Linked DNA regions of Macaca mulatta. The protein of the gene in region 2 interacts with the protein of the main gene of each other region in a pairwise test. Links are inferred from orthologs where the notes say so. Each region holds a gene or a part of one and is shown on either strand. Other genes may lie near its edges.

Region 1 (4,582 bases), on a different chromosome or scaffold from region 2:
TAATTTGGAGTGATGTCCCAGAAAGCTAGACCTGAGAAAGTCAGGGTCCCACAAAGCCCAAAGCCAGCCTGACTGATTAAGAGGCTCAGACAAGCCGGTCTTTGTCCTTTCAAGATGAAAGAAATGGATTGAAAGGTGTGTGTACAGCCAGAGGAGGAAAACCACCCAGCTGTGGCCTTCCCAAACAAGTCCCAGCTTGCTCCTGCCGCCATGGGGGAAGCAAATAGCCAGCACCAAGGTTCCCAGAGGCACCCTCCGAGCAAGCTGGTCTTTCTCTGGGGGACAGGGAGCCCCTGGGGCCTAGCCCACACCGCCGGCCCATAAGCAGTGGCAGCTTTTTTGCTCTTGGTTTGCAGGGCCTTCTACAGAAGCCGGAGATTACAAATACCTTTTTAATGACCCCAGCCAGGCTCTGAAGGCAGCCGCTGGGATCTGCACATTCAGTGGGAGTCCAGGGTACCCAACAGAATGGAAGATGCCATAAATCCCCCACCAGAGAAAGGGCCTTGGCTAACCCCAGGCTTCAGGAGGGCGACAGAGCTCTGCGTTCATTATTTGTGTGTATGTATTTGGAATTTTCCTTTAGTTTTTGGTATAGTTAATAAATACGCATTGTTTTTTTAAAAAAATCACCAATACAGAAGTGCAGACAATGAAACATTAGACCCCAGCTCCCACTCCCTAAGCCCCAGCTGTGCCCCCACCTCTCTAGCCCTCCAGTAAAATCTCCAGTTCCTGGTGTCTTCCTCCAGGAGGACACGATGATACACAAAAGCATACATGCAGGCCGCTCACCTGCACCTTGCTTCTTTCCACCTCATGCATCTGGGAGATGGTTCTAAATCAGGTCATATGTTGCTGCTTCCCTCTTAACTGGCTGCTTAGTATAATTTAAACTTTCTTGAAGGTATTTTGGCATCTAAACCTCCCACCCCTTGCTCGCTGAAGCTTGGCTCACTAGCTGGATTTGGTTATTAAGTACAGACAATGGCCTCCCCGGGAACTCCAGGGACCTTATCAGGAGGGGGAAGCATGAAGGCGGATCTGCGCTTCCCCGCGCCCCCAGTCCACGCCCCAGGTGCCCAGCGTGGGGCTTCAGTATCATTATTTCCATGTTGACACAGCGCCCGTGGGCGTGAGTTTGCTGTCTTGACTTGGTTCGGGTTTTCGCAGCAAGTTACACAAGTAGAATGAAAGCGCTCAGGAAACAGCGCTATCCGGGCGTGTTATCTCGGAAACCAAATATTTGATCATCAGTCCCGCAGAGCGCTGCCGGGGGTTAGTTTGAGCAAGTCTGGAGAATGAGTGCGCGCAGACGGAGGGGGAGCTCCCCGGCCCTCGCCGCAGCCCCAGGCTCGCGTCCCCGGGGTCGTCGCGGCTCCAATCGTAAACCGGGACCCCCAGTCGCCCCCGCGGCGTCAGCTCGGAGATCCCGCGCAACCCAATCGCCAAAACCTGTGGTTTGCGCGCCACACGTGATAAATGCTGAAAATGGATTCTGCCGGCCTGAGACCTACCACTAAATATTTAAAATAGAAAACTAGAGGCAGGGCACTGTGGCTCACGCCTGTATTCCCAGCACTTTGGGAGGTTGAGGCAGGAGGATCACCTGAGATCGGGAGTTCGAGACCAGCCTGACCAACATGGAGAAACACAGTCTCTACTAAAAATACAAAATTAGCCAGGCGTGGTGGTGCATGCCTGTAATCCCAGCTACTCGGGAGGCTGAGGCACGAGAATCGCTTGAACCCGGGAGGCAGAGGTTGCGGTGAGCAGGGATTGCGCCATTGTACTGCAGCCTGGACAAGAAGAGCGAAACTCCGTCTCAAAAAAAAAAAAAAAGAAAAAAGAAAAAAAGAAAATAAAAGAAAGAAAAAAAAGAAAAAATAAAAGAACGCAAACTAGCAAGCTCCCCAACTCCAGCCAAGAGAGAATGGGGCATCCGGCGGCCCGGAGAGGGGCCCCAAGGCGTTCGGAGCGCGCGGTAGGCTAAGGCGGGCGCACCACTAGGGGACAGGTAGGGCTTGTCAGGGCGGGTAAGGGAGTGCGACGGCCGAGATGCCAGGGCCAGGCAGGGCTGAGAGGGGCCCAGGAAGGGCGGGAAGGCAGCCTCGCCGGGAAGGGCCCTTTACATCCAGGTAGCGCGAGCCGCGCCAGCCCAGGACAGCTCACATGACCAAGCCCCGCGCTTTGAACGGCCGGCGCCTCCAGTCCCAGAGATGCGGCCGGCGGCGTAACATGGAGGGGACTTCCGAAGATCCCTCCTTCCCAGTAACCCCCACAGGCCCACCGAGCCCAGCGCGCCAGACCTGGAGGCGCACACAGCTTGGGAGCCATAGGGCTGTGGGTGGGAGACCCTCGGGCAGGCACTGCGATTTCAACCAGGAGCAGAAAGCTGGGCGGGCTGTATAGAAGAAGCGGCTCCCTCCCTCCCGGTTTCAAAGTGCCCCCGAACAGACACGCGTACCCCCGCCTGCCCTTACCGAGGTTGACGAAGCTCATGACCATGTCGGCGTCGGTGAGGAAATGGCTATCTTGCAAGCTGGCCAGAGGGGGGCCCTGGGTGCTGAAGACGGCCTTGTAGGGGTAGGAGAAGCCCTGGCCGCCGGGCCCGCCGCCCTCCTCCACCGCCATGGCGTTGTACAGGTCCAGCATGAACATGGGCGCCGAGTTGTGCTTGCCCTGGAGGTGCGGGCGCGGGCGGTGGGGCAAGCCCAAAATGGAGAGGATCTCGCGCTGCATCTCCCGCCGCTCCTGGCTGCGGAGGCGCCGATGGATGAAGCTCGAGTGCACCTCGTTGTCCAGGCTGAAGTCGGCCAGGGCGGAGCGCAGCAGGAACAGGGGTGCCCAGAGCGCCACGAAGCTGTGCGGCGCCGCAGCGCGCAGCGAGCGCACGTGCATCGCGCCGGCTCTACGCGCGACCCGGGCTCCGGGCTTCGGGCTCCGGGCCCGCACCGCCCCAGGTGGCAGAAGGGGCAGGCGGCCGTTCGCGCCGCTCGGTCACTTGCTGCAGACGGGCCCCGCTGCGCCCGCGCCAGACATGGCCCCTCCCCGGCCTGCCGCGCTCTGCCCGGACCCCCGCCCCCTGCTGGGTGCTGGCCCCGGGCCCCTCGCCCCGCACTCGCCCGGGCGCACCGCCGGGCTTGGAAAGCAGCCCCGGCGAACGAAGAGGCGAGTGAGGAGGCGGGCGCGGGTGGGAGGAGCAGCCAGCAAGCCTAGGAGTCCAGAGAGCCAGTGCCGGGGAGGCAGCGAGGAGGCAGGCGGGCGGGCTAGCGCTCCTTCTTCCCGCTCCTCTGGCGCTCTCGCCCTCAGGCGGCGGCGACCCACCCTCTTCCAACCTCTGGCGTGGAGAGCAGGGGCCCCGGGGCGCTCTCCCAGCCCTGCGCGCCCTGGATCGCACAAGAGGCCGCCTCTGGAGCGCCAGAGTGGTACACGCTGGGGCCTGGGCGGAGGAGGAGGAGGAGGACGGGCTTCAAGGGGCCCCTCCCGCGCCGGCGGCCTCCCACCTGCCCTCGGCCCCGCCCTCCCCCTAGCTGTGCCCAATGGGTTCATTCATTCCCTCTAGAGCGCTCGACAAATGTTTACCGAGTGCCCACGGGGTGCCTAGAGCCTGGCGGGACGTCGCGGGGATGCGGCTGGAGGAATCCAAGCCGGCCCTGCCCTCTTGGCACTCGTGGTCCGGACCAGGAAGGCGGCTCGAACGGGACCGGTGGGCTGCGGGCCGCGGTGGGAAAAGTTGGGGGAGCGCGGAGGTGGCGCGGAAATAGAAGGCTTCCTGGAAGCGGTGACCCTTGAGGCGGTCTTGCCCCTTAGTCCCCGTCTCCTTTTAAGCTAGCCACGCTGACCCCTCCGCGCCTCTCTGAACCGGTTGCCAGCTTGTCTCTGCGCTCGCCATTCCCTCCGCCTGGACGGCTCCCGGCTCACCACCTCCCGCCCCCCATCAGACCCTGCTTTCTCCCAGAGACCTCCAAGACCTGCCAAGCTGAGGTTGTTTCCTCGCCTCACCCCCACGTACATTTGTTTTCTTTCCTGTAATTTCTCTTGCTGTCTGGAATTGTTTGAGTTACTCCGTGCCGTCTTTATTGCCTTCTTATCCCCGCTAGACGCCCAGCGCACTGAGGCCAGGACCAGCGATCTTCTCCGCAGCTCTGGTGCCCGCAGTGCCTTGAACCTAGCGCCTGGTAGCCACTGTGGCTGCGCAATCACGATTTGTTGAGTGAATAAGTGAACTTCGTTTGAGCTGGGGGGTTCTTCCCACTTTCTCCTCTAAGGGGCCCTGTATCTTTCCAGCCACCCCTCAGCCTGAGACCAGACACCCCAGCCCCACCACTAGGGGTTCCCATCAGCCCTCCCCGCCTGGGGAGCCAGCCGCTGGTCTTCGCATCCTCTTCCCCTCCAAGGGTCTGTGCCTGAGACCTCCCCATCAGCCTCCTCTCCTGCCTCTCCTCATCTATTCATCCCTCAATCAATACTGAGACATGCACGCTGTCACAGGGAGTCCCCAGACCACTCAGAACCTACTGGTCCCTCTGCCAGTGTGGGATCTCAAGGGAATTACTGCACCCAGAGTGGCAGTGAGGGC
Region 2 (4,567 bases):
GGTGGAGACTGGTAATGTTTTATTTATTGTTCAAAAAACATTTTCAAACACCTAAGTGGTGGATATACAAATGTGTATTATAAATGTCTCTGTACTGTCTTTTTTTTTTTTTTTTTTCTTGAGACGGAGTTTTGCCCTTGTTGCCCAGGCTGGAGTGCAATGGCACGATCTTGGGTCACCGCAATCTCCACCTCCCGGGTTCAAGTGATTCTCCTGCCTCAGCCTCCCGAGTAGCTGAGATTACAGGTGTGCACCACCATGCCTGGCTAATTTTTTGTATTTTTAGTACAGACGGGGTTTCACCATGGCCAGGCTGGTCTTCAACTCCTGACCTCAGGTGATCCGCCCACCTCAGCCTCCCAGAGTGCTGGGATTACAGGTGTGAGCCGCCACCCCCCCCCATGCCCTGCCTTGTTTTTTTTTTTCTTTTCAAAACAAAATTCCCAGTTAGGTGCAGTGGCTCACACCTGTAATCCCAGCACTTTGGAAGGCCAAGGCAGGTGGATCACTTGAGGTCAGGAATTCGAGACCTGCCTGGTCAATATGGTGAAACCCCATCTCTACTAAAAATACAAAAATCAGCTGGGTGTGTTGGCACATGCCTGTAGCCTCAGCTACCTGGGAGGCTGAGGTGGGAGAATCACTTGAAATGTGAGGCAGAGGTTGCAGTGAGTCGAAACCTTGCCATTGCACTCCAGCCTGGGTGACAGAGTGAGACCCTGTCGGAAATAAAAAGAAAAAATTCCCATATACCCCTATCATAAATTAATACATCAGCCACTTGTCGAGGCCTTGAGAGATTGGAGGAAGAGAGCAGAGCAAAAAATTCAGAATTAAGGCATTGTCAAGAAAGGAGAATAACACAAAGAGAAGCAACAGTGGGACTTACACAAATCCACTATTAGCACTTGTCTGAAGAATGGTAACAACGCAAGCTAACTGTATCCAATAATTTTACCCATCTCAGCTTTGCCAAGGATCAACCTTGGTCTACGCAGTTAGCAGGTTAAACTATACTGACAGGTCTGATTTCCAAGGGTTCCAAACTTGGCTCCTCCACGCTTTCCCCAAAAGAAAGGGAATCTCTTAGTTCTCTGGGTGAGTTCCCACTGCCATGTGCAGTTGATCCCCCTCTACCTACAGGTTCTGGGTGACATGCTGGACAAGTCTAAGGGAAGTAACATCAGCTCTACAGAAGAGGGGAGCACCAGCAGAAGCGACTGTGAATTCCAACAACCCTTACCAAGAGTTCAGCTCGTGCCTGTTCCCCTTGGGCCCGACGTCTCTTCTTTAAATCTTTCACTCTTTTTAAATGGTCAAGCTGGTTCTGGATTTGCTCCTGAGAAAAGCAAAACAGATGGGCAGTTCAAAACTAGGTAGACCTTAGCATCAGCATGGTACTTCTAATCACACATGGAGTCCACACACCTGATGCCAAGTATCCAGTTGGCACTTGTTCTCAGGCCACACTGCCACCCACAAGAGAAAGACTCAGGGCGCAGGGGCCAACAAGCCACTCATTTGGCAATTTGTGTCTATCTTAGCAGCCTGTCGCTTCAACCACTCAGCTACCTCGTCAGGATTATTTGTGTCTATCTTAAACAATGAATCATCTACCTGTCCCTGGTAGGATATCGCATGACTTAGCGGAACTGTGACTGGAGTAGGAGGCTTAGAGTTATGTTGTATTGTAGCTCTTCCACACAAGCATACTGTGAAAGTGACTTCTTATTTCCCTCATGTGTGAAATGGGCAAACACCATCTTCCCAACCTACTCAAGAGTTCTCACCAGAGTAAGTGAAAGAATATAGCTGAAAGGTCCATAAATGTTAAGTGATTAATTACACATGAATGTATTCATATTTAAACACGGACATAATTGTGTATGAATTCCTGAAGCCCTCAACATACAGAAAATACACAGTATCATGGACTCCTTGAAGGTCACCTTACAACTGTTTTATATGTAATATTTTGTTTCCACGTTTCTGTTTAGCTGTGCCAGTTCACAGAGGGCTCTGTGCATCACATGATTCCATAATCTTCCTCATAACTGTTATCTCCTGAGTCTCAGAGTGGTTAAATGACTTAAGCAGTGAAGAGCCTGTTCTTTTCTGTGAGTTTCTAGACCAGGACGTATTGCAGGAAAGTGCTGGGGAAATGCTTATAGACCAAGGAATGGGCATCGGTCAGTTAATGTCCGACTGCGTTTTGTCTGACAGCCGACGAGAGTACATGTGTCTCTACAGCTCGTCGATGTGCAAGCGATTTTATGCACTTCTTTTATACTGTCAAAAGCATGTCTCCGTGTACAATGTGTCCGTGAGACAGGAAACATGGGGGCACACAGAGAAAGGAGAGTGGGGGTGGGGAGACTTCTGGCTCCCTCGCCAGCTACAGGTTTTCCTCCAAATCTGAGTGCTGAGGCTCTGGGGCGGACAGAGAGGAAATGACGGCTGTGAACCACACGTCCGGCTCAGCCATTTTCTAGGCGGAAAAAGGGAAGCCCCTTTGGCTCTCTCCTCCCTTTGTCCGACTCGCGTTCCCGCCCTCCCGGATCCGCGCCCTCACCTTGAAGCCCTCCACTGCCTCCTCGAGCGGCAGCACGCTGTGGCCGCGGTGCTCGCGGGAGCGGTCGCACACCACGCAGATGGGCATCTGGTCCTCCTCGCAGTAGAGCTTCAGGGGCTCGCGGTGTTTCTCGCACACGCCCATCTCGCCGCCGGGCCCCGACGGCCGCTCGGTGCGCAGCTGCTTCACCAGCTGGGTCACGTTGGCCAGGTGCCGGTTGGGCCGCATGTGCCTCTGCGGGAAGGTCTCCCGGCACTGCGGGCACGACACGTTAGTCTCTGCCGTGCCCCAGCAGCGGGCGAGGCACGCGCAACAGATGTTATGGCCGCAGTCGAGCATCATGGGCTCTGCGAAGTACTGCAGGCACACGGGGCAGGTGGTCTCCTGCTGCAGGCACTCGGCCACGCTCCCGGAGGCCATGGCGCGGGCCTGCGGGGGCTCACGGGCATGGGCCCCGGCGCCGAGCTCTGCACGGAGCCCAACTCTCCGGCGCTCTCTCCCGTTCGCTGTTCCTGGGAGGCACCGGGCGGACGGAGGGCGGTGCCTCCCGGGCCCGTATCCCAGACGCGCCCGCGCACCGAAGGCTCAGAGTGGCCGGGCCGATCCCTGCGCCTGTGCCCCCTGAGCGAGTGCGGGAATACAGCCGGCTCACAGAGACTCGCGGCCACGCTACTGGGGCAGGAACGGGTAGCCAAGGGTCAGGATCCCAGGGCCAGGCGCGCAAAGCGCGCAAGACAACGTGGCCGCGTCCGAGCGGATCCCGGCGGCCGCGTAGACCCCACCCCGGCGCGAGCGGAAGAGGCGGCTCGGGGGGCGGGGCTTGGCCCGCGCTTCTAGTGTGTGACAAGATTTCGTGGCCTCGGGGCCCGGGCTGCTTTCTCTAGAAAGGCCTGGGAGGCTCCGCCACTCTCCCTTGGGCGGGTCGCGCCGAAGCTCTAGCCTAGGGGACTGGTCACAAAAGCAGATGGTGCCACACGCTCCGGGCCTACAAGCTTCCGCGACTGCCGGGCCCAGGCCCCTAGTGTTTAGTTGGGTTTCTTCTTGGTGCCCAGGTCTCAGCCCCTGCTAAAGATGGCTTTGGCCGCGCGCAGTGGCTCACGCCTGTAATCCCAGCATTTGGGAGGCCGAGGCGGGTGGATCACGAGGTCAGGAGATCGAGACTATCCTGGCCAACATGGTAAAACCGCATCTCTACTAAATATAGAAAAATTAGCCGGGCGTGGTGGCAGGCGCCTGTAGTCCCAGCTACTTAGGAGGCTGAGGCAGCAGAATCGCTTGAACCCTGGAGGCGGAGGTTGCAGTGACCCGAGATCGCCACTGCACTCCAGCCTGGGCGACAGAGCGAGACTCCGTCTTGAAAAAAAAAGAAAAGAAGAAAGAAAGCTGGCTTTATATAGGTGCTGGGGAGCGCAGACATCTGGCTTCCCCAAGAGGCTGGAGGATGAGGAGGGTCACCGTCTGAGCCCACCTGATAGGTGAGGCCTTTTATTAAACAGACCCATTTGTAGGCACTTGCAGTTTTGTTTAGAAAAAGAAAGGTTTAATTATCAGATGGTAACATTTCTGTGTGGCAATAACAAGCCCAGCTCTGCTACCTCTCACTTGTGCCCAAGCAAGTTGGTTTACCATTCATTTACCTCAGTTTCTCCTCGTGTGAAATGGGGATGATAACTGTACCGCCGTAAAGAAGTAGATTTCGTTACATCTTTTACTTTTTGAACCATAAGGTTGTTTATCCATTAAAATAGTAACAAAATGCCCATTACATAGGGTTGTTGTATTGAGGAGCAACTAAAAATTGCTTGCTCCTTTCTGAAGTATAGAGAGACTAAGAATCCTACAGTGACCCAGGGTCTTGGAGTCCCACAATACTCGTTGTCTTATCATGCAGTAGACCTCCAGCATTTTTAAGTTGCTTTCTTATCCCTTGCTTGATGTCTCCTGCTTTTCTTTGAGATTTTCTCAATATTGTCCTGCTATCTGAGCAATACGGGC
Region 3 (4,572 bases), about 16 Mb from region 2:
TGAATGCTTTACATATGTGTCCCATTTAATTACGGCAAACTTGGGAAGCCAAGGCAAGTGTTCTCACAGATGAAAAACACTGATGTACAAACATAAGTAACTTACCCAACATCACAGTCAACCAGGATTTGAACCCAGACAGTCCACTTCTCCCAAAATTTCATTTTCTTACCTTGATTCCGATACTCAAAAAGACGGGGATCAGCATGAATGGGAATGAGCCCCAGACGGTGAGCAAGGATCTCATCCTGAACAATGGATGTATTATTGTACACCAGGACCTTCTCCACAGCCATAGTTGGCACCTGCCCAAGGAAAAATAACCACTTATCTGCAAAAACCCAACAGACCCCCTACCTATCCCCACAACCCCACCCTCCAGAGGTAAGGAGCTATCTCTCTTCCTAGAATGTTTAATGAGAAATTTACAAAGAATGAGAAGGTAAAATGCTCAGCAAAATTCCAGGAAAAATGAGGGAAGGACAGCTTGAGACAATTCTCCAAGTGAGGTGTCAGTGCAGTTCCCAAAGCAACTCCAGCCTTGTCACCATGCCTGCCAATACCTCAGCTAACAGAATTCGTCGAAAAGCATTGGCAATGGCTGCGTCAATTCCCACCATGTCGAACTCCAGTGAGTTTTCATCCATGTGTACTACATCCACACGGAAATTCTAGAGGGACAGGAAAAACATTTAAGTGAAACCTGCTCTCTCTGTAATATCTCTTCATACCTCCCCCTTAGATAATTCCCTCAAGTATTATCCTCTCATCCAAAAACCTCCCTTTGCCCAGATGTCCCTTATTAAATATTCTTTCTCGCCCAGTGCTTTAGTTTCATAAAAAGTCTCCATTTTTGTCGTCCATTCATTAAAACCCTATGCAATATGGCTTCCAACCAAACCATCCACAGAAGCTATTCCACTAAAGAACAGAAACTACCATAGTGCTTAGTCCTGTTGACACTACCCAGTCCTCTTACTAGACTTCTGTTATGCTTGACATTGATTAAAAAACCTCCTCTGGGCCCAGCACGGTGACTCACACCTGTAATCCCAGCACTATGGGAGGCCGAGGGGCGGATCACAAGGTCAGGAGTTTGAGACCAGCCTGGCCAGCATGGTGAAACCCCGTCTCTACTAAAAATTCAAAAAATTAGCTGGGCATGGTGGCGCGTAGCTGTAGTCCCAGCTACTCGGGAGGCTGAGGCAGGAGAACTGCCTGAACCCAGGAGGCGGAGGTTGCAGTGAGCCAAGATTGCACCACTGCACTCCAGCCTGGGAGATAAGAGTGTCTCATGAAAAGGAAAAAAAAAAAAAAAATCCCCTTTTTTGAACGATTCCCCTGGTTTCTGAGCTCCACTCTTCTTCCATCTCTGATGATCAACTTCCACCCATCTCTAAATTTGCCAGGTTCTTGTCTCTCTCCCAGGTCACCTTAACTGTACTAACAGTTTTAGCAACTATCTGTTCTGACAACTCCCAAAATTTTATCTCACTTCTGATCTCATTTCAAGCATGCAGTCTTCTAGCCTGCTAGATTTCCCCACATACAGAAAACAATGCATCATCATCCCTGTTCCCCAGACCCATTTCTCCTCTTAGTAAATGATACCACAAAGCAAAAAGCAGTTCCCAAGCCAGAAAAAGTCATTTTATGCTACCCCCACAGCCTTTATCCAAGCAATCATAAATTTACCTTATATTCTTCCTTTGCTCTATTTCTACCATCAGTCTTAGTTCATATCTTCAACCTCAGCTTCCCTTACAACAGATCTGCCTGCTCCATATGATCCTCCTCAAACTCATTCCCTCCCAGCCATCAAGGTTGCAAATCTGATCATGTCTGCTTAAGAAACTATTCAAGCTCCCTATCATCCACAGTGTGACACACTTCAATCTTGCCGACCACTCATGCCAGAACTACTTGGACATTCCCGGAGCACATGTCACAGAAGTCATAATTTTTTTTCAAGCATTAGCCTTTTTCATTGTTCATACTTTATTCCTTGTATCAACAGGTTAAAAAAGTAAAATTTTCCCAGGCACTGATTTACACATCATGTTTATAAGCTGCATAAAGGGTAACATTTAGGTCAGTTGCATAAAGAGTAACATTCAGTAATCTATTTAAATGCAATTTTAACCCTTATTTTAAGCTAAGTGAAACAATAATACAAAAGACTAAATACACACAAAACCTGCATATCCTGAACTTCACTGACGTGAAACTCAAATCTTTCATAATTCAACTCCTGTTTTTTTTTTTACTTACCATTCAAGGTTCAATTCAGGTGTCCCCTCCTCTTGAAATGTTAAGTACCTCTCGGCCCCTCTTCCTGGTCTCAGCGGAATGCTCCCCACCCCAACCCTGCCGTCTTCATCGCTATCAACCACCTTCACCATATTACACTAGATGCACTTGTTTATACGCACCATTCCTCAACAAGACGGAATATCTCTGCAGAGATAGAAACCGTGTCTAATTTGGCCTGTAAACGGAGCGTCTAGCACATTGCTCAACAAACACAAACGGAGCGACCCCCAAAAGCAGCTGCTGAGACAGACACAGGCTGCTCAGGCCACAGGGTCTGGCCTTCATAACCCTCCCCAGACAACTTCGGCCCCACTTACCTTCTCGAAGCGGTCCTGGTCCCAGGCATCATCATAACCGGAATAGTTTCCGGGAAAGTCAGTGGTATGGACCTAGAGCAAAGGGACGAGTTTGTCCACAAAGGGACAATGAGCCCACGGCTATCCCCACGCCAATCCCAAGACCCACCCCTGTTCCGCTCTCATTCCTCCCGCCCGAGCTCAAGGCCACAAGGCTTACATTGCGAACCCCAAACTCCCCTAGAACCACGCGGCCCCGCATCTCCTCCACCGCCTGAGAAGCCGCCATCTTCAATCTCTCCACGAGACTGGAGGCTCTATCTGGCGCGTGCGTCCTAGTAGACTGGCTCCGTCTCCGTGGCAACGCGCCACCGCCTGGAATCTTAAATATCGCGAGACTTTTCCCCGCTTCCGTCCACGTCCCCAGCCTCCGGAAGTTGGTTTTGTCCAAACATCCGGGCTTCTCTTTTTTGTGTTCCGGCCGATCCCACCTCTCCTCGACCCGGGACGTCTCCCTCACTAAGGCCCACGTCTCGCCCACTCCTCCGCGCGCGGGGCTAGCGCGGGCTTCAGCGACGGGAGCCTTCAAGGGACATGGCAACTACAGCGGCGCCGGCGGGCGGCGCCCGAAATGGAGCTGGCCCGGAATGGGGAGGGTTCGAAGAAAACATCCAGGTAATGGCCCCAAGGCACTAGCTGCCAGCAACCCGAGGGCCAGCGATGTCCAGAAGTGTCTTGAGGATTCTTCCTGTGGGCCTGGAAGTCCGCTCCATTTGCAAAACTCTCTTCTTTGGGTCTTCGTGCACACTAAAGTCAGTAGGATTAACATTGACCTGAAAGGGCCAGACTAGTACTCCAGCCTGAGGGTCTCGGGTCTCTGGGCCCGCTCGAGGCATTAGGAAGAAGGTATTCTTGGAACAAGTTAGGAAGTTGGTCGGGGTCAGGCATGGAGTGGGGTTGGGTGGGATTCACTGGCATTCGCTGAAAACATATTATGTGTATAGTTTTGTTTGGGGCTTAGGAAAGAAGGAAATGGGCACTTTTTCAGCCTTTTAGTCTTTGGTAGGTAAGGTAGGAAAAAGACAGGAATGGAAGACTAGTAGTATGTTTCCCAGGCTAGAAAATTCAGCCAAAGCTAGAAACCAAGAGTTCTGAGAGCATATGAGGGGGAATGGAGTGGCATGATCTGTAGTGATTCCGAGCCGTATCCTCAGCAGTGGAAGAACAAAGCCCTAAACCCTGGGATGAGCAGAGGACTTAATGGATGGAACAGAAAAGTCCTGCACTCTAGGAGCCATTGTCTTCACAGGGCGGAGGCTCAGCTGTGATTGACATGGAGAACATGGATGATACCTCAGGCTCTAGCTTCGAGGATATGGGTGAGCTGCATCAGCGCCTGCGCGAGGAAGAAGTAGACGCTGATGCAGCTGATGCAGCTGCTGCTGAAGAAGAGGATGGAGAGTTCCTGGGCATGAAAGGCTTTAAGGGACAGCTGAGCCGGCAGGTGGCAGATCAGGTAAGCATGATTGAATCTTCTGCAGGTGGAAAGGTATACCTAGGTATGTCCCATGTTCTGGAGTTGGTGTTGGTGATGTTTGCCCCAGGTTGTCCAGTTAGAACCATGTAGAAATCAAGCGGAAAATAGGCAACAGGGTCTAGAACCAACAGTCCCACAATACCTATGCCCATCTTCCTTACTTCAGATGTGGCAGGCCGGGAAGAGACAAGCCTCCAGGGCCTTCAGCTTGTACGCCAACATCGACATCCTCAGACCGTACTTTGATGTGGAGCCTGCTCAGGTGCGGAGCAGGTGAGGAGCCTTCTCTTGAAGAAGCTTCCCTCCTAACACCTAGTCCTTTATGCACACTACAATCAGATTTCAAGCCCTGGGCTCTGGTGGGCTCCCCCTCTTCATGACCCCATCATCTCTCATCACTACACCTGTCACTGAAACAAATAATAA
Region 4 (3,084 bases), on a different chromosome or scaffold from region 2:
CTCTGCCATCCTCAGGCAGGCTCTCCTGTCACCACCTCTCACCCACATCCTCCATCCTCCCCAGGCTCCAGGAGGGGCTCCTGGAGAGCACACCTGGGCCCAAGCCCACTGGCCACGCCCTGGGCACAGAGCTCCTGGCTGCATCACATCTCTGAGAATGGTGCCGACTGCCCATTAGCAGGTGACGCTGATGCAAGGTCATGTGACTAACCAGGGAGGCACCTGCCCTGGATGGACCCCGACTACATCTTCTCTGCTTTCTCTATAGAAGGGTCATCTGTGTTTGCACTTGAAGAAAACAAAAGTCGCTCTGGGAACCCAGAGGACCTTGGCAGGTCTGGGAGTACAAAAGGTCATCACAGCAGATTCTGCTCCTTCTACTCAGGAAACCCAGCCCATAATCAGCTGCAGGAAACCTAGAAGCTGAGACTGCCCCACGGCACTGTGAGGGGACATCCCCGCGGAGCAGCGTCCCAGCCTCGTCCCTGGCGGGGCTCCAGCCCCAGCCCCAGCCCCAGCCCCCTTCTCACCTCTCCGAAGACAGGCCGGACCAGCGTGGACAGGCACTGGGACCTTGGCTGCCTCTTGACAGGCTCTGCGGGCTGCAAAGGAAGTGGAGGCCCAGGGTGAGCAGGGCAGTGCAGGCGACAGGCAGGGCACTCCCATCCCTTCAGGCTCTAGCCTTGAAGGGATGGAGACTGGGAGCAGCCTGTCATGGCACATGCCCAGGGCTGGCCCCAAAACCATCAAGCCACCCAGATGGCCTGACTCAGGGCTTACAACTCCCACCCACCCTCTCCTCACAAATTTGGCTCCTAACAGGCCCTCATCTTCCCAGCACATGCTGGGGCTTGGGGTCTCCACACCAGGCCCAGTGCCACAGTGGGCTTCAGACCACCCCTGCCTTTCCCAAGCTCCTTGTCCAAGCCCCAGACACTGGGTGGACAAAGCTGGGTCCCGCACCCAGCCCCAGGGGTGCACAGCAGGCAGAGGCCAGGCCGGGAACAGACCTTCTGTGAGCTGTGCAGGGCCGTCCCCTTGTGAAGCTTGCTGTGTGGACTCGGCCGGATGGTGGGGGGGAACGTCCAGATGGGGCCCTGCTCCCCGTCCTCCGCCTCGCCATCACTGAAGAGGATGAAGAGTTGCCAGGGTCAGTGGGGGGAGAGCCAGGAGGCACAAGGGCCTCAGGGCACACCTCACGGCCAAGGGAAACCCGAGGTACTGGGCGGCGCTCTGCCAGGCCACGGAGTCCAACTGATGCCTCAGCAGGCCCTGTCCTGTAGCCTTAAGGGGGTCCCTGCCCAATACTATATCTGGTCACTCTCACCCCTAGAGCCCACGCCCCTGCTTCTGGAGTGGGGACCACCCACGTCACAACACCGAGGGTCACCATGAGGATAAACCAGGCCCCTACATGTCAGAGTCCTCGGAGCTGGACTCCTCGCCATGCCCCTCGGACTTCCAGCGCTTATAGCGGTCGATGAGCTCCGTGAGGAAGGAGGTCTTCTTGGTGTAGCGTGTGATGAACTTGTGCTTCAGGAGCTCCTTGGCTGTGGGCCGCTGTGCGGGGTCAGGGGAACATCGGTCACTGGGCCCAGCCAAGCTCTGCCTCAGGAAAGCAAATGTGAGGCAGCCTGGACTGGGGCAGGTCCTCACGGCTACAAGGCTGGGGGGCCTAGGCCTCCGGGCTGTGCTGCCCACCCCAAGCAAATGCCCTCCCTCCATATGCCCATCCAGAAGGGGCCAGGCCAGAGGCGGGCCTTACGAATCGGGGGTCCTTGTTGAGGCAGGCCTCCACGAACTCCTTGAACGGCTTGCTGTGCTGGCCCTCCAGTGTGGGAGGGCTGTTCTTGGGAATCAGGAACAGGACGCGCATGGGGTGGAGGTCAGAGTTTGGAGGCTCCCCCTTGGCCAGCTCGATGGCCGTGATCCCCAGGGACCAGATGTCGGCCTGGACAGAACACAAGGACTGTCGCTGCCCTGAGCACCCCAGTCAGGCGTGGTGCCCGCACCCGCCCGCCCACCCACTGCACCCACCTTGAAGTCATAGGCCGACTGCTTGATGACTTCAGGCGCCATCCAGAAGGGGGTGCCCACGAACGTGTTCCTCTTAATCTGTGTGTCTGTGAGCTGCCCTGCTACCCCAAAGTCCGCCAGCTTCACATCCCCCTGCTCCGAGAGTAGCACGTTGGCAGCTGCTTGACACAGGACAGGCAGACGTCATGCCAGGCTCCACGTGGCTCCACCCAGGGCCCCCTGAGAAGGGCCAGGGTATCATCCACCTGGCCTCCTAGGGCACAGCAGGGCTGTCCTCAGGACTTCAGCCCTCCTTGCCACTCTCAAACCCAGGGCCACCTAGGGCCACAGGGGCACTGCCAGAAGGAGCCTAAGGTCTCCACTCCGAGCTCCAGGGCTCTCCCTGCATTTGGCTTTTACAACAAATCCCAACGACAGGTGACTTCGCCCACTGGGGGCTACCACAGAGGTGACCCTGATCAAGGGTGTGGCCACCATGGGCCTGCCAGGAAGCCCCTTGCTCCACCAGACTTGTCCCCTACATGAGAGAGATGACTCGGTGCCGGTGGCAAGTCCCTCCCCACAGGCTGGCCCAACCTCATGTCTGCACTTAGCAGGGCCAGACCACACGCTGGGGCTACTCAAGCCTACACCTGCTGTTGTGCTGTGAGCCACCGGGAACCAACAACTCTGGCTAAGCGTGGCTGTTCCTACACTCAGTCCACAGCTGGTTTACTCAGCGTACAAGGAAACTGTTACAAACAGTATCTTCTGGAAATGGAGCAAGACAACTGCTCAGTTTCAGGGTGGCCACAGGGTTCTCTATACCCCAGACGCTGGGCACCACTAGCCACTTGCCCCTCACAGGCCCCAGCCTCTCTAAGGTCAGTGGGGCTCAGGACATTACAAGAGCCACATTCACCCCCAGCAGGACCTTTGATGTCTCGGTGGATCTTGCGTTCGGAGTGCAGATAATCCAGGCCCTTCAGAATTTCCCGCAGGATCGTGGCAATGTACGTCTCCTCCAGGGGACCTGGTTTAAGCTGGAGAGGAAGGTGGGACAGCAGG
Region 5 (4,461 bases), on a different chromosome or scaffold from region 2:
AGGAGATCGAGACCACGGTGAAACCCCGTCTCTACTAAAAATACAAAAAATTAGCCAGGCGCGGTTGTGGGCGCCTGTAGTCCCAGCTACTCGGGAGGCTGAGGCAGGAGAATGGCGTGAACCCGGGAGGCGGAGCTTGCAGTGAGCCGAGATCGCGCCACTGCACTCCAGCCTGGGCGACAGAGCGAACTCCGTCTCAAAAAATAAATAAATAAATAAATAAATAAAATAAAATAAAATAAAATGTGTTACTTGATCCTATCAAGACTTTCAACCCAATTTCTAGATTATAGGAAATAAAGGGGATAAAGAAACAAACCACAAAGAGGCAATGAGACAAACCGGAAGGGGGAACATTTGCATTCCTGGTTGGGGCCTTCAAGAATCAGTGTTATGAAATGAGGGTCTGTTTAGGGTTACAAGCGATTTATCTCTTGGGGCCAGGAGTTCAAGACCAGTCTGGGCAAGACGGTGAGACCGTGTGTCGACAACAAATTAAAAAAAAAAAAAAAAAAAGCCGAGTTCGAGACCAGTCTGGGCAACACAGTGAGATCCTCTCGAAAACAAATTAAAAACAAAAAAAAGCCGGGCATGGTGGTGTCCACCTGTAGTCACAGCTACTCGGGAGGCTAAGGCAGGAAGACTGCTAGAGCCCAGAAGTTTAAATTTATGGTGAACTATGATCACACCACTGTACTCCAGCCTAAGTGACACAGTGAGACCCTATCTCAAAAAAAAGAAAAAGATTTAAGATAATTTATGTAGTGACTTCCTTCCAATGGGTATAATACATAATACGTAAAGAGGGGAAAGAAAGAGTAATTTTACAGTGGAGAAGCCTGACAAGACTTCAGCCAGGTGATCACGCGCGTGTTGCCCAGGCTGGAGTGCGGTGGCTATTTACAGGTGCAATCATGCAATCGTAGCACACTACAGCCTCAAACTCCTGGGCTCAAGCGATCCTCCTATCTGGGGCTACAGATGAGCACTGTGCATGGCTTGAAAAAGGGATTTTTGTTTGTTCTCAAAATTTTGTCTGCTTCAAACTATTTCCCACGGCCTAGATCTAAGCTCCGGCAAGCTCTGGTGCTGCTTAACTCTCTATCCTCTTTTTGTGCCATTCTCCACTTCACTATAACGATCCTGCCACATTCATCTTCCTTCTGGCTCCTTCCTGTTTTAAGGCCTTTGCCCATGCTGTGTCCCTGCTAAAATGCCTTTCTCATGATGGCCAAAACAGAAGTAACCACCACCTTCTACTGCTGTTTCTCATCACCCCATTTATTTGCTGCTGAGCATCATCTTTTTTGTTTGCTAACCACCTGTCCCCCCTACTAGAATGTAAGCTCCTGAGGGGCAAACACTTCCCCTAACTTGTTCACCATACTCCAGCATTTAGAGCAGTAGTTTACATATACGGTACATGCCCAGTAAATATCTGCCCAGTGAATAAATCAATAGGTCTTAAGATCATAACTACAAAAGAAGCCGTAAGTTACAGACTGCAAGCCATCTCTGCTTCTCCTGATATGAAAACACTAAATATGAGTTACTTTTGTTTCTAAGACAGATTCTCGTTCTGTCACCCAGGCTGGAGTACAGTGGCCCAATCCCAGCTCACTGCAGCCTCGTCCTCCAGGCTCAAGCAATCCTCCCACCTCAGCCTCCTGAGTAGCTGGGACACCACGCCAGACTAATTTTTTTTTTTTTTTTTTTTTTTTTAGCAGAGATGGGCTTTTGCCAGGCCGGTCTTGAACTCCGGGACTCAAGTGATCTGCCTGCTTCGGCCGCCCAAAGTGCTGACATTACAGGTGTGAGCCACCTCACCCACCTGAAATTGTTGTTGTTTTTTTTTTTGAGACGGAGTCTCGCTGTTGCCCAGGCTGGGGTGCAGTGGCGCCATCTCGGCTCACAGCAACCTCTGCCTACCGGGTTCAAGTGATTCTCCTGCCTCAGCCTCCCGAGTAGCTGGGATTACAGGCGCCCGCCACGCCCGGCTAATTTTTGTATTTTTAGTTAGAGACGGGGTTTCATCATGTTGGCCAGACTGGTCTCGAACTCCTGATCTCAGGTGATCCGCCTGCCTCGGGCTCCCAAAGTGCTGGGATTACAGGCGTGTGCCACCGCGCCTGGCTACAAAACTGCTCTTTTTAAAACATCTTTTTTTGAGACATGGTCTCACTCCGTCGCCCAGGCTGGAGTGCAGTGGCGCAGTCTCAGCTCACTTTGGCCTCTGCCTCCCGGACTCAAGCAATCCTCCTGCTTCGGCCTCCAGAGTAGCTGGGCCTACAGGTGCACACCACTGTGTGCGGCTAATTTTTGCTCCCGCTTAGCTGGGATTACAGGCACTCGCCACCATGCCCAGCTAATTTTTGTACTTTTAGTAGAGACGAGGTTTTGCCATGTTGGCCAGGCTGGTCTCGAACTCCTGACCTCAGGTGATCCCCCCGCCTCGGCTTCCCAAAGTGCTGGGATTACATGTGTGAGCCACCACGCCAGGCCCCAAGGACTCACTTGTAACTCACTTACCTCACCCCGGCCCATTTAGCCATCTAGCGAACGGGCCCAGCCCTTACCAATAGCAAACTCCACCAGGGTCTCGTTCTCCTCCGACAGCGAATCGAGAAATAAATCCAGGACCTGCAGCTGCCGCAGATACTCGTAGTTGCTGGGGTCATAAGCGAAGTTGGCGAGGTTGGCGAGGACTTGCTCCTTGGCGTCTGCAACGGGAAAGCGGCACTGGAGCCAGGTCCGGGCGGCGGTCACAGCCGACCCTGTCACCTGGTCCCACCGTGGCTCTCACCTTGGCTCTGGGTCTCCTGGAATTCCGTGACCAGCGCCTGCAGGTATCCCAAACGCCCGACGTGGGGGTCCAACTTCGGCTTCTGGGCCATGGCCGGCGTGACGGAGGACCCCCAGGGACGGGCGGGCGGGTGGGAAAGGTGCAGGGGGAAAGCCGAGCGAGACCCTCACCCACTCTCCACCTGTCTGGCGAGGGAAGACGCGGGGACGGCAAACGGGTTTCTTTCTTGGGTTCAGACTCTGCAGTAATTTGCAGCTGGAAATGGAATGTGGGGAGATGGGCCGGGGTCTCAGAATCCTGTAGGAGTTGGGTCTGAAAATCGAAATTGGGGCGCGGGAGACAGGGAACCGTCTGCGGGCTGGGGCTGGCGGAGTGGGTACTGGCGCCCAGCCCCCGGCTGCCGGGCTCGGTTCCAGGCTCCCGGCGGAAGCCGCGCTGTCCCCACCCTACAAGGCGCGGAAGGGGCGGGACGAGGCAGGCGAAGGGCGGGGCCGTCGCCGAACTCCTTGGCGCGCGTGCGCGGCGCGCTTTCGGTTTTCTGGCTGCGGAAGCTCTTTAGCCTGCGCTGGAACCCGCTGCGACACGCTTCGCCGAGGGAGGTATGGGCGTGGGTGGGTGTACTGCGAGGAGCAGCCTTGTCTCCCATATCCTATGTCCAGCTGCAAATTATTGCAAAATCTGAACGCAAGAAAGAAACCCACTTGCCGCCCCCGCCAACAGGAAGGCGGGTGAGGGCCTCTCTCGGCTTTCCCGCCCCACCTTTCCCACTCTCCCGCCCGGCCCCCCGGGTCCTCCGCCGCCCCGACGTGGCCCAGAAGCCGAAAGTGAGGCACCCATGTCGGGCGGCTGGAATGACGTGAGGAGCAACTCAGGAGCGCAACGGAGTCTGGCAGCACCCATGTTGGGAGGACGTCGAGGCAGAAGCACCTCCAGGATCCCCATGGCTGGCGGGGCGCCCCTTTAGAGCGCGGGCGTCAGCTCCTTACCCACCCCCATCAGTCTTTTGACCCTTTTGCAAAAAGCGTAGCGACCCCGACCCGTCCTCTATCCCAGCCCCGAGGTGAGTCCGCCACCTCTGGACAGAAATCAAAGGGGACGGGGTCATGTCCTGGTGCTTTTTGTCAGCCGGGTGGATGGCGCGCGCCCGGGGCAGCACCGGGGAGCCGGAGGAAGAGCCTTGTTTGTGGCGCTTTCGGGGCTTTCTGGATGCTGAAGCCCTTCGGCCGATTCCTTCTCGAGGATTCTCGGGAAGCAGGTGTGTGATGGATTACTACTCGTGGTTACAGGGAACAAAGCACCAGGGAAGGAGGTGGCCTTACTACACTCCCATCGCGTTTGACAACGTAGGGGTAGAGAGGTGGCTTAGGCTGTGAGTGTCCTGAGAATGCAAAAGTTGTTAATCTAATTGGAGTCACTTGTGTTAAAAAAACAGAACAAAAAAACCCGGACAGAGTCGGAGAAAACCATGACAAGAGGGTTCTCATGCATAAATATCTGATAATGAAAACTATCACAAAGATTCTGCAAAAACCCCAACCTTGCACAAAACATACTTTTGAATGGCCATCTGCCCAGCAACTTTCCTGTCCAACGTTGAACTGGTCACCCTTGTTACTAATTCTTCTACCTAAGGATAATTATCTCAAAACAATTATGTA
Region 6 (3,817 bases), on a different chromosome or scaffold from region 2:
GGTTTGAATCCCACCTCTGCCCTTTATGAGTGATGTGCCCTTGAGTAGGTCACTTGAACTCTCTAAGCCTCAGGATTCTTATCTGTAAAATGGAGATAGTTCCACATACGTATCTCAAAGGCTATGGTGTGAGGATAGAAGAAGCCCAGTTATGTGAAATGCTCAGCACAGTGACTACAACATAACATACATGTCAGTAATATTGATAATAATTTTTACTATTATATTAGCATGTGTTAGTCTTACAGCAAGCTTTCAATGCCTGGGAGCAATTACTATCATTGTTGTTGCTGCTGTTCTTATTTCAGTTCAAATTCCAGCTATTTTACTCATTTTCTGTTAAGGGTTGGACAAGCTCCTTAGCTCTCAGAACCTCAGTTTACTCACCTATAAAATGATAGTGCCTGCCTCACAGGGTTTGAGGTAGGTGTTTAAATCAGGTGGCAGTAGTAAAATGCCCAGTATGAATGACAGGCAAGAGGAGATTCTCACTAAGTGGGGAGCCCTCCCACCTTCTCCATTTCCAAGGCATTGTACCTGTGTCCAGGTGTTCATTTACATAGGGGAGCTAAGCCATGTGAGGATAGCATACCTGGGTTTCTTGAGCTGCCTGCTCAGGTACTCTCCAATAATGGGGTTTTGAAAGTCATAATACTTTGTCCAGTAGACGCAGAGTTGCTGGTAGTTTATGACTAATTCCAATACCGTCCGAAATCCCCGGGCTGTGTTGAAATCTGTTTCCATGCTCCCTTGCTCCCAAGCATAGACTGTCAGGAGCTCCAGGGCATACTGAGGTGGTAGCTTCCCAAGCTGCTTCTTACACTAAGAAGAGGAAAAACAATCAGAAAAAAAATTGGTTTGCTCAACTTTTGTGTAAACTCCATTTCTCATGGGTCAAATCCAGCCTGCCACCGGTTTTTATAAAGTTTCCTTGGAACAAATCCAGGCTCATTCATTTATGTATAGTTTATGACTGCATTCATGCTACAAAGGCAGGGTTAAGTAGCTGCAACAGAGGCTGTGCAGTCCACAAAGTCTAAAATATTTACTATCTAGCCCTTTGTTTTTTTTTTTTTAAAAGTGTGCTGGCCCTTTGTCAAGAGTGCTGGATTCTTATTGATGTGAGTTTGAATCCTGGCTTCACCATTGTCCGATTCTAAGTTGATGACTTAGACTCACAGACCTCATTATTTTCATCTGCTAAGTGAGTGGTCATAATAGCACCTATCTTATAAGGATACTATGAAAATTAACTGAGAAGAAGGACTTGTAATGTTGCTAAGAAATGCACAGAAGCAAATGAAGTTCTTTCTGGAGGAGTATACATAATCCAAAACCTGAAATTATTTCACACATAATTTTCGAATACAATGACCAGCACATATGCAACCAGGCACAAAAGGAAACAAAACACTAAGAGTTATGACCAACAGAAAAAAAGAGAAATAGTAATAAACTTACAAAACTTTAAATATTGAAAGACTGAAACAGACTTTAAAATAACTAGGAACCCTACAAGGAAAACTACAAAACATTGCTGAAAGAATTTATAGATGACACAAACAGATGGAAACACATCCCATGCTCATGAATGGGTAGAATCAATATCGTGAAAATGACCATACTGCCAAAAACAATCTATAAATTCAGTGCAATTCCCATCAAAATACCATCATCATTCTTCACAGAACTAGAAAAAACAATCCTAAAATTCATATGGAACCAAAAAAGAGCCCACATAGCCAAAACAAGGCTAAGTAAAAAGAACAAATCTGGAGGCATTACATTACTAGACTTCAAACTATACTATAAGGCCATAGTCACCAAAACAACATGGTACTGGTATAAAAATAGTCACATAGACCAATGGAACAGAACAGAGAACCCAGAAATAAAGCTAAACACTTACAGCTACTGATCTTCGACAAACCAAACAAAAACATAAAGTGGGGAAAGGACGCCCTATTCAACAAATGATCCTGGGATAATTGGCAAGTTGCATGTAAAAGAATGAAACTGAATCCTCACCTCTGCCCTTATATAAAAATCAACTCAAAATGAATCAAATACTTAAATCTAAGACCTGAAACCATAAAGATTCTAGAAGATAACATCCAAAAAACCCTTCTACACATTGGCTTAGGCAAAGACTTCATGACAAAGAACCCAAAAGCAAATGCAACAAAAACAAAGATAAATAGATGGGACTTAATTAAACTAAAAAGCTTCTGCAAAACAAAAGAAATAATTAGCAGAGTTAACAGACAGCCCACAGAATGGGAGAAAATCTTCACAATCTATACATCCAACTGATATCCAGAATCTACAAAGAACTCAGACGAATCAGTAAGGAAAAAACAAACAACTCCATCAAAAAGTGGGCTAAGGACATGAACAGAGAATTCTCAAATGAAGATATACAAATACCAACAAGCATATGGAAAAATGCTCAACATCCCTAATTATCAGGGAAATGCAAACCAAAACCACAATGTGATACCACCTCGCTCCTGCAAGAGTTGTCATAATAAAAAATAAAAAAAAAATAGATGTTGGTCTGGATGTGGGGAAAAGGGAACACTTTTACACTATTGGTGGGAATGTAAACTCATACAACCACTATGGAAAACAGTGTGGAGATTCCTTATAGAACTAAAAGTAGATCTACCATTTGATCCAGCAAACCCACTAGTAGGTATCCACTCAGAGGAAAAGAAGTCATTATACAAAAAAGATACTTGCACACACATGTTTATAACACCCCAATTTGCAATTGCAAAAATATGGATCCAACCCAAATACCCATCAATCAATGAGTGGATAAAGAAAATGTTAAACACACACATACTCATGCACACACCATGGAATACTACTCAACCATAAAAAGGAACAAAATAATGGCATTCACAGCAACTTGGATGGAATTGGATACTACTATTTTAAGTAAGTAACTCAGGAATGGAAAACCAAACATTGTATGTTCTCACATATGTGGGAGCTAAGCTATGAGGAAGCAAAGGCATAAGAATGATACATGGGACTTGGGGAACTTTGGGGAAAAGGTGGGGGGTGGCAAGGGTTAAAAGATTACACATTGGGTACAATGTACACTGTTTGGGTGATGGGTGTACCAAAATCTCGGAAATCACCACTAAAGAACTTATTCATGTAACCAAACACCACCTGTTCCCCCAAAAACCTATTGAAATAGAAAAATTAAAAAAACATAGTTGTCTCTCTGTGATCAGCGGTTTGAATGAGGACAGGAAAGGAGAGGTATCAGGTATCAGAGCCATATATGTATACACATGAATCTGTGTGTGCTCATGTCACAGAAAAGAAGTGCAAATAAAACATAAGATAAATAATAAAAATTAAAAATAAAATAAGTAGGAATATCATATTCACAGGATAAAATAAGAACTTTCAATAGTTAGCAGGGAATTAAAAGCCATAAGAAGTAACATGGTAGATACAAAAATATGAAATAGAAATTTTAGGATAAAAATGGCAACTGTAATTAATAGTGCAACAGCAAATTAGATATAGCTAAAGAGAAAATTAGTTAATTAGAAGGTAGATTAGAAGAAACTATTCAGAATAAAGCATGGAAAAATCGACAAAAAGATGAAAAATACAGAAGAGAGTATAGAGATATGAAAGATAGAGTAGGATCTAACATACATTTAATTGGAATTCCGGAAGGTGAGGACAGAATGAGGGAGAATCAATCTTTTAGAAGGATGGCTCAGAAGTTTCAAAACTGATTAAAGATATCTATCCACAGATTCAGGACTCTTAAAGGAATCCCTATCAG
Region 7 (2,928 bases), on a different chromosome or scaffold from region 2:
CGCACCACTGTGCTCAGCTCAAATGTCTCCATTTTAACGTCCTCTGCATAACAATTACATACAACGGCTAACTCCTCAAGAAATAATATTTATAAATGATACTATCTCTGTTCAACATCTCTCCCCTCTTAAAGATTGCTTAATTTGAAAACAAAGCGTTCTATGTCTTCCTGTTAGACCCTGTCCTAAATTCCCTATTTCCCAGGCCCCTCCTACATGGTTAGAGGAAATATAAAGAACATGCAATCACCTAAGCAAAGTGAGGACAAAGACAGTTTCTCTTCAGCGCTGAGTCTAGAGAGCAGAGAAGCAGGGCAAGCCGGAGCCAGATACCACTGGAGAAAGGAGCCAGCCACGTGTGAGGCCAGGTTACAGAATCAGTTCAACTGCCCATCAGTGGGGGCTGTGGTGGCAGAACCCAAGACCCCTTCAGCTGAGGCTGAGCCCAGGCTAGGGCTAACAGCACCGCAGTGATGCCAATACACTGCCCTTCATTCCACTGGCTCAGCCCACCCCAAGGTCAGGCAGGCAGATGACCTCAATGCCCCAGCAGCTTGACAATGTTTCTTCTAGAGGCAAGGCTGGTGCTGCCATTGCTTCCTCCACGTGAGTGATACAAGTGCCATAGGAAAAGGCCAATCTGAGAGTCCATAGCCCTCAATAGGAGGCAACCACTGCCCAGGGAGCAGCAGACATGAGGCAAAGGAGATGCAGGGAGACATTTAATTTACATAGCAGCCACTTGGGGTCCAGTCAGAGCTGGGGCAGTGGGGAAACCTATAACCCCAGAGGGTACCCCCAGACCCCCGGCCCCCGGGAAACCAGTCCTCACCAACCCTTGGATGGGCTCCCAAGGTTGTGCAGAAGATGCTCCAGTCAAAAGGAGAGAGACATTTGGGAATAAGGCTGTCCCCAAGTTGGGGGAAGTCCACGGCCTGGAGTTGGTGGCCTATGTGGTGGCCCAGGGGTCTGAGAGACCAGTCCATGTCCTGGGCGAGTCCTCAGCCTGGTAGCCCTAAAGGAAGCCTTCGCGGCGGAACTGTTCCTGGAGGAGGGCGCGGTACTGGTCAAATCCTCCTTCCACGCGGGTGACGCCGCCTCCTTCGCACACCCATAACTCCCGGCACACCAGCCTGATAAAGCGTTCATTGTGGGACACCAGAATCACACCACCCTGAAAGACACGAGAGCAGGAGGTGCTGAGGGGGACACGAGAGGCACCGAGGCCTGGGGAGGAGTGGGCAGGGTGAAGGCACACTCACCCTGAAATTGTTGAGGGCACGGCCCAGAGCCTCGATGGTCTCCATGTCCAGGTGGTTTGTGGGTTCATCCAGAATGTAGAAGTTGGGGCTGGAAGGCAGAACCCAGGAAGGTAGGCAGTGAAGGGGTGTGGTGAGAGAAAATAAAGCCTTCTGATACAGTTTTCTACTGGGCAAGAAGGGGAAATGGGAGGGGAAGAGCTCTAGAAAATGAGGCCTCACCAGGGCATAGTCATCTGAGCAAAGGCCACTCGGCTCTTCTGGCCCCCAGACAAGCTGGCAACAGGACGCATAGCCAGCTCTCCGGAGATGCCATACCGACCCAGCTGGTGACGGTACTCCTCCTCAGGCCGCCCTGGAAAAGGACTCCCCAGATCAGGTGGTTTCTTGGCCCAACTCCCTCCCTGTACCCTCCAGCCACACCTCCAAGTCCCCATCTAGGCTTGGGAGGGCTGCTCTGCACTCACTCCAAGGCAGGTCTAGCTGCCGGGGTCAGCCTCATCCCTCTTTCCCCACTCAAATCCCCAACTCACCAGGAAACTTGCGTGCCAGCAGTTCCACAGCACTGATGTTCAGGTCCAGCTGCTCCACGTGGTGCTGGCTGAAATAGCCAATCTTCAGATTCCTGAAGACAGAAACCGAGGTGGAAAAGCAGACAAAGGCAACAGCCATGAAGGAGTGCAGGAAGCATGGGTGCCTGCAAGTGTGCTCATGGGCGGGGGTGCCTCTGACCTGTGAGCGTGTCTGATGCCCCGAACAGGTGCCAGGTCCCCCATAAGCAGCTTCAGCATGGTAGACTTCCCGGCCCCATTCTCTCCAACCTTAAGAAATGTGAAAACGTCATACAGTGTGTGCCAGAAAAATAAATACTGTAAGTTCTCACTCATATGTGGGCACTAGAAAATGTTTAGCACATAGAAGTAGAGAGTAGAGTTCTGGTTACTAGAGGCTGGGAAGGGTAAGCGGGGAGGAGGGGAATTGAGAGAGGAGATCGGGAGAGGTTGGTTAACCAAAACAGAATTGTAGCTAGATAGGAGGAATGGAGGAATAAGTTCGAGGGTTCTACAGCACTGCAGGGACGCTACACTTCACAATGACTGATTGTACATTTTTAAAAAGCTAGAAGATTTTGAATGTTCCCAACATAAAGTGATAAATGTTTACGGTGAATATGCTAATTACCCTGATTCGAACATTACACATTGTATACATGTATGGAAATATCACTCTGTACCCCATAAACATGTATAATTACGTATCAATAAAAAGAGCACCGCTGTGTGTAACACAGAAGGGAAGGAAATTAGAAGGGGTCTCAGGCAGTCCCCAGTCCCAATGACTCCATCAACAACCAAAAAAATATTTTTAAGGACTCTAGCCGGGCGCAGTGGCTCACGCCTGTAATCCCAGCACTTTGGGAGGCCGAGGCAAGCAGACCATTTGAGGTCAGGAGTTTGAGACCAGCCTGGCCAACATGGTGAAACGCTGTCTCTGCTAAAAATACAAAAAATAAGTTGGGCATGGTGGCAGATGCCTATAATCTCAGCTACTCATGAGGCTGAGGCAGAATTGTTCGAACCCAGGAGGCGTAAGTTGCAGTGAGCCAAGATCGTGCCATAGAAAAGCCTGGGCAACAAGGTGGGACTCTGTCTCAAAAAAAAAAAAAAAA

Evidence for each region.
Region 1: the proteins of TRIM27 (region 2) and BMP7 interact in binary tests that used the Homo sapiens proteins (3 or more experiments, as listed by UniProt). The two-hybrid records come from large-scale screens. The link is inferred for Macaca mulatta from reciprocal best matches to the Homo sapiens genes TRIM27 and BMP7.
Region 3: the proteins of TRIM27 (region 2) and POLR1C interact in binary tests that used the Homo sapiens proteins (3 or more experiments, as listed by UniProt). The two-hybrid records come from large-scale screens. The link is inferred for Macaca mulatta from reciprocal best matches to the Homo sapiens genes TRIM27 and POLR1C.
Region 4: the proteins of TRIM27 (region 2) and STK25 interact in binary tests that used the Homo sapiens proteins (3 or more experiments, as listed by UniProt). The two-hybrid records come from large-scale screens. The link is inferred for Macaca mulatta from reciprocal best matches to the Homo sapiens genes TRIM27 and STK25.
Region 5: the proteins of TRIM27 (region 2) and ARMC7 interact in binary tests that used the Homo sapiens proteins (3 or more experiments, as listed by UniProt). The two-hybrid records come from large-scale screens. The link is inferred for Macaca mulatta from reciprocal best matches to the Homo sapiens genes TRIM27 and ARMC7.
Region 6: the proteins of TRIM27 (region 2) and OAS1 interact in binary tests that used the Homo sapiens proteins (3 or more experiments, as listed by UniProt). The two-hybrid records come from large-scale screens. The link is inferred for Macaca mulatta from reciprocal best matches to the Homo sapiens genes TRIM27 and OAS1.
Region 7: the proteins of TRIM27 (region 2) and ABCF3 interact in binary tests that used the Homo sapiens proteins (3 or more experiments, as listed by UniProt). The two-hybrid records come from large-scale screens. The link is inferred for Macaca mulatta from reciprocal best matches to the Homo sapiens genes TRIM27 and ABCF3.

The regions. Positions count from the first base shown.
Region 1 is NC_133415.1:110,054,971-110,059,552, forward strand, and holds the start of BMP7 (bone morphogenetic protein 7), read right to left. Parts: upstream 3,016-4,582; 5' UTR 2,902-3,015; coding exon 2,484-2,901; intron 1-2,483. UniProt on the Homo sapiens protein: Growth factor of the TGF-beta superfamily that plays important role in various biological processes, including embryogenesis, hematopoiesis, neurogenesis and skeletal morphogenesis.
Region 2 is NC_133409.1:154,415,202-154,419,768, reverse strand, and holds the start of TRIM27 (zinc finger protein RFP), read right to left. Parts: upstream 3,082-4,567; 5' UTR 2,993-3,081; coding exon 2,573-2,992; intron 1,340-2,572; coding exon 1,244-1,339; intron 1-1,243. UniProt on the Homo sapiens protein: E3 ubiquitin-protein ligase that mediates ubiquitination of various substrates and thereby plays a role in diffent processes including proliferation, innate immunity, apoptosis, immune response or autophagy.
Region 3 is NC_133409.1:138,600,629-138,605,200, forward strand, and holds the start of POLR1C (DNA-directed RNA polymerases I and III subunit RPAC1), read right to left. Parts: upstream 2,920-4,572; 5' UTR 2,899-2,919; coding exon 2,830-2,898; intron 2,703-2,829; coding exon 2,631-2,702; intron 672-2,630; coding exon 564-671; intron 306-563; coding exon 173-305; intron 1-172. Other genes in the region: protein YIPF3, read left to right, coding at 3,204-3,284, 3,919-4,125, 4,313-4,419. UniProt on the Homo sapiens protein: DNA-dependent RNA polymerase catalyzes the transcription of DNA into RNA using the four ribonucleoside triphosphates as substrates.
Region 4 is NC_133417.1:146,790,686-146,793,769, forward strand, and holds part of STK25 (serine/threonine-protein kinase 25), read right to left. Parts: intron 3,060-3,084; coding exon 2,951-3,059; intron 2,196-2,950; coding exon 2,038-2,195; intron 1,970-2,037; coding exon 1,766-1,969; intron 1,561-1,765; coding exon 1,415-1,560; intron 1,126-1,414; coding exon 1,011-1,125; intron 603-1,010; coding exon 531-602; intron 1-530. UniProt on the Homo sapiens protein: Oxidant stress-activated serine/threonine kinase that may play a role in the response to environmental stress.
Region 5 is NC_133421.1:84,791,138-84,795,598, reverse strand, and holds the start of ARMC7 (armadillo repeat-containing protein 7), read right to left. Parts: upstream 2,968-4,461; 5' UTR 2,895-2,967; coding exon 2,804-2,894; intron 2,721-2,803; coding exon 2,577-2,720; coding exon of another isoform or gene 2,545-2,576; exon of another isoform or gene 2,173-2,544; intron 1,872-2,172; exon of another isoform or gene 1,838-1,871; intron 1-1,837. UniProt on the Homo sapiens protein: As a component of the minor spliceosome, involved in the splicing of U12-type introns in pre-mRNAs.
Region 6 is NC_133416.1:120,168,998-120,172,814, reverse strand, and holds part of OAS1 (2'-5'-oligoadenylate synthase 1), read right to left. Parts: intron 823-3,817; coding exon 593-822; intron 1-592.
Region 7 is NC_133407.1:96,327,482-96,330,409, reverse strand, and holds the end of ABCF3 (ATP-binding cassette sub-family F member 3), read right to left. Parts: intron 2,081-2,928; coding exon 1,992-2,080; intron 1,885-1,991; coding exon 1,793-1,884; intron 1,615-1,792; coding exon 1,482-1,614; intron 1,351-1,481; coding exon 1,263-1,350; intron 1,175-1,262; coding exon 1,016-1,174; 3' UTR 710-1,015; downstream 1-709.